3 linked regions of the Ovis aries genome follow. The protein of the gene in region 1 interacts with the protein of each later gene in a biochemical or structural test. Links are inferred from orthologs where the notes say so. Each region holds a gene or a part of one and is shown on either strand. Other genes may lie near its edges.

The links.
Region 2: the proteins of PJA1 (region 1) and NSMCE3 form a complex in vitro, tested with the Homo sapiens proteins (2 studies listed by BioGRID). The link is inferred for Ovis aries from reciprocal best matches to the Homo sapiens genes PJA1 and NSMCE3.
Region 3: the proteins of PJA1 (region 1) and MAGED1 form a complex in vitro, tested with the Homo sapiens proteins (2 studies listed by BioGRID, with this or other methods). The link is inferred for Ovis aries from reciprocal best matches to the Homo sapiens genes PJA1 and MAGED1.

What each region holds. Positions count from the first base shown.
Region 1 is NC_056080.1:62,082,361-62,086,241, reverse strand, and holds the end of PJA1 (E3 ubiquitin-protein ligase Praja-1), read left to right. Parts: coding exon 1-1,278; 3' UTR 1,279-3,273; downstream 3,274-3,881. UniProt on the Homo sapiens protein: Has E2-dependent E3 ubiquitin-protein ligase activity. Ubiquitinates MAGED1 antigen leading to its subsequent degradation by proteasome. May be involved in protein sorting.
Region 2 is NC_056071.1:25,979,522-25,983,080, reverse strand, and holds NSMCE3 (non-structural maintenance of chromosomes element 3 homolog), read left to right. Parts: upstream 1-1,414; 5' UTR 1,415-1,538; coding exon 1,539-2,396; 3' UTR 2,397-2,968; downstream 2,969-3,559. UniProt on the Homo sapiens protein: Component of the SMC5-SMC6 complex, a complex involved in repair of DNA double-strand breaks by homologous recombination. The complex may promote sister chromatid homologous recombination by recruiting the SMC1-SMC3 cohesin complex to double-strand breaks.
Region 3 is NC_056080.1:53,694,780-53,699,041, reverse strand, and holds the start of MAGED1 (melanoma-associated antigen D1), read left to right. Parts: upstream 1-1,371; 5' UTR 1,372-1,418; exon of another isoform or gene 1,419-1,525; intron 1,526-1,774; exon of another isoform or gene 1,775-1,898; coding exon of another isoform or gene 1,899-1,953; intron 1,954-4,262. UniProt on the Homo sapiens protein: Involved in the apoptotic response after nerve growth factor (NGF) binding in neuronal cells. Inhibits cell cycle progression, and facilitates NGFR-mediated apoptosis. May act as a regulator of the function of DLX family members.

The sequences.
Region 1 (3,881 bases):
GCCTCTCAGCCGTCTTCTGCTGAAGGCAAGGTGGTCACAAACAGCAACAACCTGGAGAGGGAGAGACAGGAGCCGAATTTACCTGCATGTCCCAGCAGGGCTCCTGTGAGTATTTGTGGTGGGGAAAACACTCCAAAGAGCGCAGAGGAACCGGTGGTGAGGCCCAAAATCAGAAATCTGGCAAGTCCTAACTGCGTGAAACCAAAAATCTTTTTTGATACCGATGATGATGATGATATGCCACATAGCACTTCCAGGTGGAGGGAGACTGCCAGCACTGATGAAGGCCGCTTGGATGGCCTGGCAAGAAGGAGCAGAGGTGAGGGTTCAAGTGGCTACCCTGAGCCGAAGTACCCTGAAGACAAGAGGGAAGCCAGGAGTGACCAAGTGAAGCCCGAAAAGGTGCCTAGACGGCGACGAACCATGGCCGACCCCGACTTCTGGACATACAGTGATGACTACTACAAATACTTTGAAGAAGACTCTGACAGTGACAAAGAGTGGACTGCGGCTCTGCGTCGCAAGTATCGTGGTCGGGAGCAAAATCTGTCATCCAGCGGCGAGAGCTGGGAGACTCTGCCAGGAAAAGAAGAGCTTGAAGCCGAGCAAGCCAGAGTGAATGCCAGTGCTGGTGCCAGTGCTGGCAGCAGTGGCAACAATGAACTTGAAGAAGTTCGAGGGCCCTCTCTCCAGGAAGAGGAAAGGGCGTCCCCCGAAGAAGGGGAAGTTCCTTGGCTCCAGTACAATGAAAACGAGAGCAGCAGCGAGGGGGATAATGATTCTGGTCAGGAGTTTCTGCAGCCTGGTGTCTTCATGCTGGATGGCAACAACAACCTTGAAGATGACTCCAGTGTCAGTGAAGACCTCGAAGTGGATTGGAGCCTCTTCGATGGGTTCGCGGATGGGTTGGGGGTAGCCGAAGCCATTTCATACGTGGATCCTCAGTTCCTCACATACATGGCACTTGAAGAACGCCTGGCCCAGGCAATGGAAACTGCCTTGGCACACTTGGAGTCTCTGGCGGTGGATGTGGAGGTGGCCAATCCACCAGCCAGCAAGGAGAGCATCGACACTCTTCCTGAGATCCTGATCACAGAAGATCACAGTGCGGTGGGGCAGGAGATGTGTTGCCCCATCTGTTGCAGTGAATATGCGAAGGGGGAGGTGGCGACGGAGCTGCCATGCCACCACTATTTCCACAAGCCTTGTGTGTCCATCTGGCTTCAGAAGTCAGGCACCTGCCCTGTGTGCCGCTGCATGTTCCCTCCCCCACTTTAAGACCAAGGTTCTTTATTCCTGGTCTGATGATTTTCCCCATCTGAAATCCACAATACTGCAGGAGCCCTCTCCAAATTAACCATTGCAATGAAATCAGTCAGTCGATTAATCTCCACCTGTTGATTCCTTGTGATTATTTCCAGCGTGAAAATGATTGTGTATGATTGCATTACAAAAATCATACTGTGTTTTAGAGGTTAGAAAGGGAAAACCAAATTTTCTAAGTGCTACTTGAGATTGCAGCAAGAAGATGCATTTTCTAACCTGAGCAGTGAAATGTTGCATTTTTTTTTTTCAGTAGAACATGTTGATGTTGATTGTAATGTCAAGTTTATCTGTTAACTTTGTCCAAGAGGCATCATCATTTCTGCTGCATGTTATGGGTTAATGTTCCTGTAATTGCAGTGCCGTAAAAGCTTATTAAAGTTCTCCTTTTGGTTTTACATGGTATAGTGGAATTGTTTGGTTTCGTCTAAAACCGTGGTACTAAGTGACTTTATAATTGATTTCTTGCATTTGCCTTCAACATAGGGTTTTTGGTGTTCCCACTAGGAAAAAAAAATCAGTTTCATTGGAAATACTGACTCCAACAACAACAAAAGTAAGGGTAATTATTTCTAAAAGTAGGAGTAAAGTGTGTGGCTGTTGAACTACTAAAGGGGCAAAGTTTGAGTAAAGACTATTCTGTCAGTCTATGAGAAGGAAAGAAACAGTGAAAAAGCATAGTAAAAATAATGATGGTAGGAACACATCCAAACAGACTGTAGAGGTGAAGGACTTAAAATTCTCTTTTAGAAAATAGCAAGTCTCAGAAAGTAAAGCAAGTCTCAGAGGGAATGGGTAAAAACTAAAACTGTCTGCTGACTGTATACATTAACACAGTGACACAAAAGGAACAGAGAAATGTGTGCCAGACAAATACTATGAAAAACCGAGGTACCCGCCCACACAAAGTGAACAGGTTTGAACCTTTGGCCATATTGGCTTCAGATCTCTCTCTCCAATGACTATACATTTTGCAGGTGAAGAACTTCACCTGTTCTTTTTACCTGCTTCCACAGAGGTAAGCACTATCCAGGAAATGGTTTGATTACTTCTTGTCTGCCTTTTTTGAAGTGTGTGTGTGCATGTGTATTTGTGTACATATATATGTATATGCCTGTATGTATCTCTATAACCAATATAGAGTTTTTTAAATGGACATAATTGCTAAAATGTATCATTTTGCAGCTTTCTTTTTTTCACTCAACATTGTTTCTGAGATTTCCTCATTTTGATACATGCCTTTTAACTGCTGTATACTAAATATTCCATTGTACACTGACCACAAGTTATTTATCTATTCTCTCATTGGTGGACATTTAGTTTCTTCCCAGTGTTTTGCAACAGTGAACATAATTAAAAGATGTTCCTCTGTACACATGTGTGAATTTCTTTAGGGGTTAAGTACATGGAGGTAAAATTTGGGCATCTTAGGGTTAGAACATCTTCATTCTAACTAGATATTGCCAAACTGCTCTCCTAAGTGACTGTACTAATTCAAACTCCTCCCAACAGTTGGAGAGCTGTTTTCAGCATCAACAGCTTGGCTACTGCTAACGATCAACCTCACTGGCAATCAGTGCTGTGTAAATTAACGCGACAATGAAACTGATTGTGTCCATCAGAAAGTGATAGTTTTTCTTCATGAGAATATCTAGTTTGGACTACAAAGAGAAGAAATGGCAGCACTCGTGCTGTGGGTGTGAATGTAACAATAGCAGCCTTTTCAGGGCAGTTTGGGGAGTAGCTTCGTTTCAAAATGTAAAGTGATGCATGTCCCTGAGAGCAAGTTAGATTTTTTAGTTGTATGGAGTTAATACTATGCAGCAGTTAAAAATGGTATGCACTGATATGGAAAGATCTCCAAGACATAATGTTAAGTCAAAAAAGCATATTGTGGAGCAATATGTATAATCTTGATGTATTGATAAAATAAAACCTTACAAAACCAAACTATATATGAAAATGCATAAAAGTGTCTGGAAGGCTGCAAACCTAACTGATGGCAGTGGTTGCCTCTGGGGAGGAAAAGGGGCTTGGAAGAAAGTAGTAAGGAATGGGGCTTTTTTAAGAAAAGTTAATCTGCTTGATATTTTTTTTCCTGTGTCAGTGTTTTTCCATGACTGTTAACAAAATAAGTCAAATCAAGAAAGTTTCCAATTGATAAAAAATAAAGGATTTTTCTCTCACTGCAAGCACGGAAACCTGTGGTGGAAGCCACAGTCCTTTTTTCCTGCAGCTGGTCAAGCTGCTATTTATAACTTTGTCTCCCAGTCATTCTGTGTCCCCCCTGGCCTTCAGCCAGCACCTCAGCTGTCATGCTGTCTCAGAAGTCTGTGACCTTGGGGGCCTCCATTGGGTGGGGTTGTGGTAGTTGGCCTAACATTAACCTTTGTGGTGCCCTGACTGGCACCACACAAGGAGATGTTTTAAGAACCCCCTTAGGTCCTGATTGCCTTCCTCCCTGCTTGTGGAGCGGTAGCCCCAGTTTTCCTTAGTCAGCCTTGGTACATTCATGGAAAGGGACCTCTCCCCAGGGCCTGTCTGAGGAGCCTATCACT
Region 2 (3,559 bases), on another chromosome or scaffold:
TGCCATTAAGATTAATGCCTGGGGATATACTGTTAGATCTTGTGTGGAAGAGAACGTTATTACTCATAGTTTACCAGATTTTAGCATTCTTGCATCACAACACAGAATATCATTTTACATTTAGTATTGCTTTTCCAGTGCCATTATCAGATTGCATTTTCATAGTAAATTACAACAAAATTTTATGCTACCAACATTTAATGAAATTTTAATAAGGTTGTGTTTTGATGTTATTATTCAAATAATGTGTTGTGAATTGCTTTCCTTTGAATATATTTGCATTAAAGAGGAACTCAACTTGATTTGGTTCTTTGAACAGTTTACCCACTTTCTGGTAGCTTTAAGAAGACAAAGAGGGAAATTAAGTTTCGCCTTTGCAAGTCAGTAAATAGAAAAGGAACCCATTTGCTAGGATCTGTGGATGTAATGGCAGCAGATTACAGATGGTTTGAGTTAATGAAATGACTCACGTTGGTTACTAAAGCAGCACAATTAAAAATATAAAGTAGATATTTCACAGATTATGACGGATGATAACCTGGAGTTTTCGCTTTCTCATTGATCTCTAAGGCTAGAGACTCACATGTTAGCAATTCTTGGTCAGAGATGCCCCAAATTAAATGGTAGTCTCTTGAGACCGACTTCTCTGTTGGTAGCATTCTCTTAGCCATTTCTGCCAGATCTGTGGTTGTGAGCCCAAGGCCCATCTTTCCATGAGCACGTGCTTCCAATAGATAAAACTCCCCGGATCAAGCAAAAACCCTCCACTTATCGTGCTTTCTGGGGTGACTGTGCCATAGCTGTCCGGCTGAAAGAGTTGATTACACAGAATATCAAGGCTGAAAGGTGAAAAGACACGGAGAAAGAGCCCTGTATGCGAGACGAAGCTGTTTACCATTGTTTCTAAACAGACTCGGGCTTTAGAGAAAGTAACTGGTGGAAAATGGTGAGAAGGGGCTGGCGAAGGCAAACTAGTAGTCCTTGGGGTCTTTTAATTGTCTTTACGTCGTTTCGTGTGGAAAGAAATTGCTCTTACTTCCTTTCCACGCTCTTCGCCGTATTTTTCTCCCATATTCATCCTGGGAGTTTCCTTCACCTACATACAGCCCTGATTTCAGAGCTTTTGACTCTCAAGTTTCTACAGCCCTGGCCTGGGTACGATCCTGAGCCAAGCCGCACACTCGCTCAGGAGCTCTGCTTCCTGTTCGCCATCTGCAGGGTTTGGTAATAACGACGACACTTAATCATAATACAGCCCGAAAGGCTGCAAGGAATACCCGCTTCTTACCGCCGCCGTCCGCGGCCGCTGGCCAGACCGGAGCGACCTCTAGACGCGGCGCGGCCTCGATGACGCAACGCGCAGCCTCCGTGACGCAAGCGCGCAGCTTCTGTGACGCAAGCGCGCAGCTTCTGTGACACAACCGCTTCTCCTCCGGGCCCTCCCACAGCCCCACGGACTAACGGCTAACCGACCTTCAATCCCTGCCACCGCTGCCGGTTACGGGGAGTCCGCGCGGTCGGGGTCCCGCCGCCGCGACATGTCGCAAAAGCCGAAGAGCCGGGGCCGCCCCAGTTCCCAGGGCGAGCGGGAGCCGAGTGGCGGCGGCGAGGAGGCCCCGAGCACGTCTCGCGGGCCGGGCGGCGCCGCGTCGCAGCGGCGGGCCCAGGCCTCCCCCGCGCCGGGGCCGCGCTCGCAGAAGCAGCTGGAGCTGAAGGTGGCGGAGCTGGTGCAGTTCTTGTTGATCAAGGACCAGAGGAAGATCCCTATCCGCCGCACCGACATCCTGCGGCATGTGGTCGGCGACTACAAGGATGTGCTCCCAGAGCTGCTGCGGCGGGCGGCCGAGCGCCTGGAGTACGTGTTCGGGTACCGGCTGGTGGAGCTGGAGCCGCGCAGCAACACCTACATTCTGGTCAACACGCTGGAACCGGTGGAAGAGGACGCGGAGGTGCGCGGAGACCAGGGAACGCCCACCACTGGGCTGCTCATGATCGTGCTGGGGCTCATCTTCATGAAAGGCAATACCATCAAGGAGACCGAGGTCTGGGACTTCCTGCGGCGCCTCGGGGTACACCCCGACAAGAAGCACCTCATCTTCGGGGAACCCAAGAAGCTCATCACCGAGGACTTCGTGCGGCAGCGATACCTGGATTACCGGCGCATCCCGCACACGGACCCCGTGGACTACGAGCTCCAGTGGGGCCCGCGCACCAACCTGGAGACCAGCAAGATGAAGGTGCTCAAGTTTGTGGCTAAAGTCCACAACCAGGACCCCAAGGACTGGCCGGCGCAGTACTGCGAGGCTTTGGCGGACGAGGAGGCCAGGGCCAGACCCCAGCCCGCGGGCCCGAGTCCAGCCACTGCCTCTGCCCCAACCCCTGCTCCTGTCTCTTGAAATCTGAGACACACCCCAGGGCCCTCTCCCTCCCCGGGGGAAGGGCTGGAGGTGGGAGGAAGCATCTTGATTGTTTAAATGCGTGGTAGTTCCAGGAAGTGTTTGCAAACTTTAATTCTTGTAATGTTGTAAGTCGTTTTGATTCTAAAATTTCATTTAGAGGGTGACTTGTTTTGTTTTGATTTGCTTCAGTGTCTGTGTTTTTTGGTGTAAAGATCTTGTTAGCTTTATAAAGCGAATTGGAAAACTTCCTACCCGGATCTGGAACTGCCAAGGAAATATAAGCGAACTGGCCCTTGTCCGGCCTTTGAACTGCCCCACTCTGTAAAGGAAAAGTCTTCGTAAATTGAAAACGAAAGTGTAATTGCCTATATCCCCTATTACCTTAACGCAGCTATTTAAAAAATCTGTTTTCTATGCATGTAAGCATTTTGAGTCATTCTAAGCAATGTGTGTATTGTAGTTTTTCCAAATAACTTTTTACATTGATAATTACTATGCTGTGTGGCTGACCATTTTGTTCAATTTTTTTTGCTACTATAGTTATAATAAATACTGTATTTTTGAAGCAATTTAGCATTATGCATTTATTTTAACCCTAACTCATGAGAAATTTCATGACTGAAAACTAGCATCATAAGGAAAAAAGAAAACAATTTTTGTTACATATCATTGAGGTAAATAGTGTTTTGTTGAAGTTGCTTTACTTTTATATGTGTGACATACTGGATCATGATGTAAAATTATTTCTGTGGGTCATGGAAAAGTTGATAAAAGTCTTAGTGATTAACCATGCCTATTTGGGAATCAGACTAGTGGGTTCAGAGTCTGCCTCACTTACAAATTTAAGGAGATTAAGTTGTACACAGACCTTTCCTTACCTATAAAACGGGTTGATGCTGCCTGTTACTGTGTATGGTAGTGTGATAATTAGGTATGGAAGTTTATGTAAAGTTATGGGCACAAATTTGTTTAAATTGGGCTTTTTTTCCTTGGCTTAGGACTGTTAAAGTTTTTTCTTTTTAACTTTTTCTTTCATTCTCTTGTAAATCATGACTGTCCTTCTAGTCCGACTCTACTGTGTGGTTTATGGAAAAATAGCTCACGATGGAGCCCACATAAACAGAGCAGAAAGTAAGATCCAACTGGGCTTGGAAGGGGTG
Region 3 (4,262 bases), about 8.4 Mb from region 1:
CACTGCTTCTTTCACACTATACTTCAAATCCACTATCTTTCTTCCTTTCCATTCATCCATTCCATCATGTATTCAACATTAAACAAGTCTTCACTGAGTACCCTCTAGTATATAAGGAGTATTTTAGATTTTAATTATTCACCAGTCGATGGAGTAGCCATAGTTTCAACACTGTCTTCTCTTCATCTATTATTATTGTCACATTATAGTGCTACTAGTTCTTTATGTGTTCATTTCCCTCACTGATTGGAGGGTCTTGAAATCCAGGATTCTATCTTAATCTTCTTCATATGGACAATATCAGAAACAGAACCTTACACCAAGTGGTTGTTCAAAATCTGTTGGTTGAATGACAAAACATGAGTTAAATGCTGAAATGAACTATACAAATACTAGCAAAAGTAAAGACCTTGTGCTAGCCTTTGTCATTGCCCTGACCACATTTTGGTCACTTATTCATTCCACAAGCATCTATAATCACCTATTTTATGCTAGACTCTTACGTGTTTAAATGTTGCCTTAGCCCCTAGGCTGTGGCTTCTAGTGCCATGTCTCTGGGTCTAACGCAGTATTTGGTACACTTGCAAACTGGCTGAAAATAACCACAAAAGAGAAGAACTGGGGTACAGATTTTGGCCCTAGAGGAGTTTTCTGGAGGTAACAGCAATAGGTAACTCAATATTGAACTTTTAACCAAAGTAAGGCTTATTTTTATTATTGAAACTTTTTGTCAATTATCATTGTCTTCATTTGGGTGGGAGGGGTATAAAAGTACACAAGAATGCTTTCTAAATGAGTTCACTTTCTTTTGCAAATTTTAAGTATGGAATGTTACTCTCTGGATACCATTCCAAGACGGAAATGATTCAGATTTAAGACTTTTTAAAGATCTTGAAATTTTTTTAAATTTAAATTTATTTATTTTAATTGGAGGCTAATTACATCTTGAAATTTTTATACTAGTAATTAAAATGAACTTATTTTTTTAATTCCAGAAAGCAGTTAATCAGTATGATAAATATGTAGCTGTAGACATCCGAGAGTTAAGGAAGTAACAGTACTTGAACGTCTGAATCAGCAAGGCGAGGTGACAAATAGGATACACAGAGTTTGGCAGAGATGCTACAGTTCCTTGGATGACTAGGGCTAGTAGGATTTGTAAAAAGTTACTGATTCCTTCTTCCAGAGATCCTACGTCACTATCCAGGTGCGCATCTGGTGAGAGAGCCATTGAGATACAATATTTCAAAAGCTTGCTAGAAAGGCACAGGAAGTTGTCTGGAGTGAAGGCGGAGGTGGGGTGGGGAGTGATGGGGGCGGGGGTGAGGGTGTGGCGTCCTGGGCAAAAGCTTCCGCCAAACAAAAGAAATTAGCACTTCCGGTCACGCCTTCATCTTGTCGCGGCGTTCTTCACCAAGGTGAGTGTAAAGAAAGGGACTGATAATTTTCACAAGTGAGTCCCCAAACACTTCAGGAACGCTTTCCTCTTTGTTTCGCCACGAGGTGGAAAGAATTCATTTCCAGGGTACATTGAAGGATGTTTCTGACGCTTGTGGTTCTGATCTCTGTCTTCACTCTCTCACTCCTCAGGAGATGGCTGGCCGTCATCCCCTCCTTCTGACTCTTATGGTCCTTTTATCCCTGATTATTCTTCACTTCACCTCTTAATCTCGAATCCTCTTCCCGGTCTTTATGAACTTGGGTCATTCCCTGTACCATCGATTTCTTTCCTACCTCTTACTCCCACCTTCCACCCCGCCCTCTTCTTAGCTTCAGAACTTTTGCTACCCTCTTCCCCGACTCTGGCTTCTCTGATGGCTCAGACGGTAAAGTGTCTACCTGCAATGCGGAAGACCTAGGTTCTATCCCTGGGTCGGGAAGATCCTCTGGAGAAGGAAATGGCAACCCACTCCAGTACTCTTGCCTGGAATATCCCATGGACGGAGGAGCCTGGTAAGCTACAGTCCATGGGGTCGCAAAGAGTCGGAAACGGCCGAGAGACTTCTCTTTCTTTCCCCTAGTCTGAGCCTACATTCTTCCCTTTTTTTCCCCTTTAGACCCCAGTATTTTACTCCCCTGAAGACTTCTGATTCTCTTTGGTCCTGCTTCTGCGGAGGACAGTGAATTATTTATTAATACTTTATAAAATTAGGTGTGACTTCAATTTCAAGGGCAAGGCTGTTTTTGTTGTTTTTAAAAATCAGCAATGGAGCAGAAAATTTTTAGAGCTCTCAGAGACGTAGGAACTTGTTCAGATTATGTACTTGTATTTATTTATTACCCTAAACGAAATCCCATATCAGATATTGCACTGGTTTCAGCCTATGACATAAAAAAATTTTGGTATACAACTGAATCTCCAAATTTTGAGTGACAAATGTAGTGAGTTTTGCTTATAACTTGGTGTCAGCTTTAGAAGAGGGAAGCTTTCCCATCTTTAGAATTTCTCACGGGGCAGAAATGGTTGACAGAGATGACATCCAATCACAAATTTATTAATTCATGTGAGTTGGGTTTATTATGTAAATCTTTTCCTGTTGTTCAGTAGCAACATTGAAGAGCAAGTTGACAGATTTTTCAGACAAAGATTTTTTTTTTTTTTAGGAGCTATGCATGTATTATCTATTTGGTGTAATATGAATTTTGTCTTTTTCATTTGTTGCAATGTGAATTTACGTCTTTGCACCATTTATCATGTCTAAACTGTCTTGCAAGACTGTTCATTAATTATCACAATTTTTTATTTCAATTCCAAGAGAGAGAAAAGTAAATTTATAATGAGGGTGAGGGGTATTTCAGGTTATAAAGCGGAATTTAGCAGTCTCCTTGAACAAGCAACTTATTCCCTCTTCTGTAAGGTGTTAGACTTGCCAAAATAAGGGATGATTAAGTATAGTTGAGAGACAATGAGTGAATATAAAATAAATATATAATAGGTTGTGATAGAGATGGTTGTACTATGTTAGATAGGAAAGGCAGAAAGGCCTCCTTGGTATTGTGACATTTGAGCAGAAATCTAAAGGAAAAGAGGGCACAGACTATACATATATGAGTGGGAAGCCAGGATATATTTATGACAGTGGCTTTGCATTTGTTGGTCATTTTGCTTCCAACATTCGCTCTTCTTCCCTCTGCCTGTGGTCACTAGCCAATGGCAACCCATTCCAGTATCCTTACCTGGAAAATCTCATGGACAGAAGAGCCTGGTGGGCTGCAGTCCATGGGGTTGCAAAGAGTCGGCACGACTGGGTGACTAACACTTACTGCCTACTCGAATGATCTAATCTGTCCATGTAAGTTCCCCATATTGTCTTTCTCCTGGCTAGCTTGTTGCTACCATTTAGGTGAACTGTCAGTTACCAGCCCCTCTGGGAAGACACGTCTGCCTCTATCCTGACCTCTTCCTCAGTGTGTTAATTTGTGGTGCATTGTATGCTGTCCTACAGCGTATTTGCTTTCCTCTCTCACTGCTCTTTTCACTGCGTGTTCATAATGTTGCCCATAAATGTTGGTGTGGTAAATTGAAATGAATTTAGTGCCTGTCTTTATAAACAACCTTTTTAATGTAGTTGGCTCCCTAATTAATGTTCAGAACCACTGTTTAAAGTCAGTATCATCGTTGTCATTTTCCTGATGACAAAACCTAGACTCAGGTGGGTAGTAACTTGCTAAATGGTAGTGGAGTTAATGGAGTTAAAATCTGTCAGATACTCAGTCCTGGCCTGATCGTCTCTTTCTCTCTCTCTGTCTCTGTTTATTAATGAGAAGTAGAAAATACTCAATATTTTATTAGACATAGTCTGGATATAAAAATTTCATTTTGTAAGCTTTCTTTCACAAGTCTAATTATATCAGGTACTTGATTTACTTCCTAGTTATAAATGTTAAGAGCTGAAAAGTGTGATGACTTTTTACTTGAAATTTTTTCCCATTTTCAAACTTTTTATTCTTTTTTTTTCCTTTTAAATTTTTAATTGGGGTATGAATACGTAAGGGTACAGCTGAAAGCATTGTCACCACTGTGTAACCTACCACATGATCCAGCAGTTCCACTCATGGTATATATCTGGAAAAAGTGAAAACACTAATTTGAAAAGGTGTGTGCACTCCAGTGTTCTTAGCAGCACTATTTACAATGGCCAGGATATGGAAACGACCCAAGTGTCCATCAGCAGATGAATGGATAAAGATATGGTGTATATGTAAAATGGAATATTGTTGTTTAGTTGCTAAGTCATGTCCGACTCTTTTGCTATGCCCTG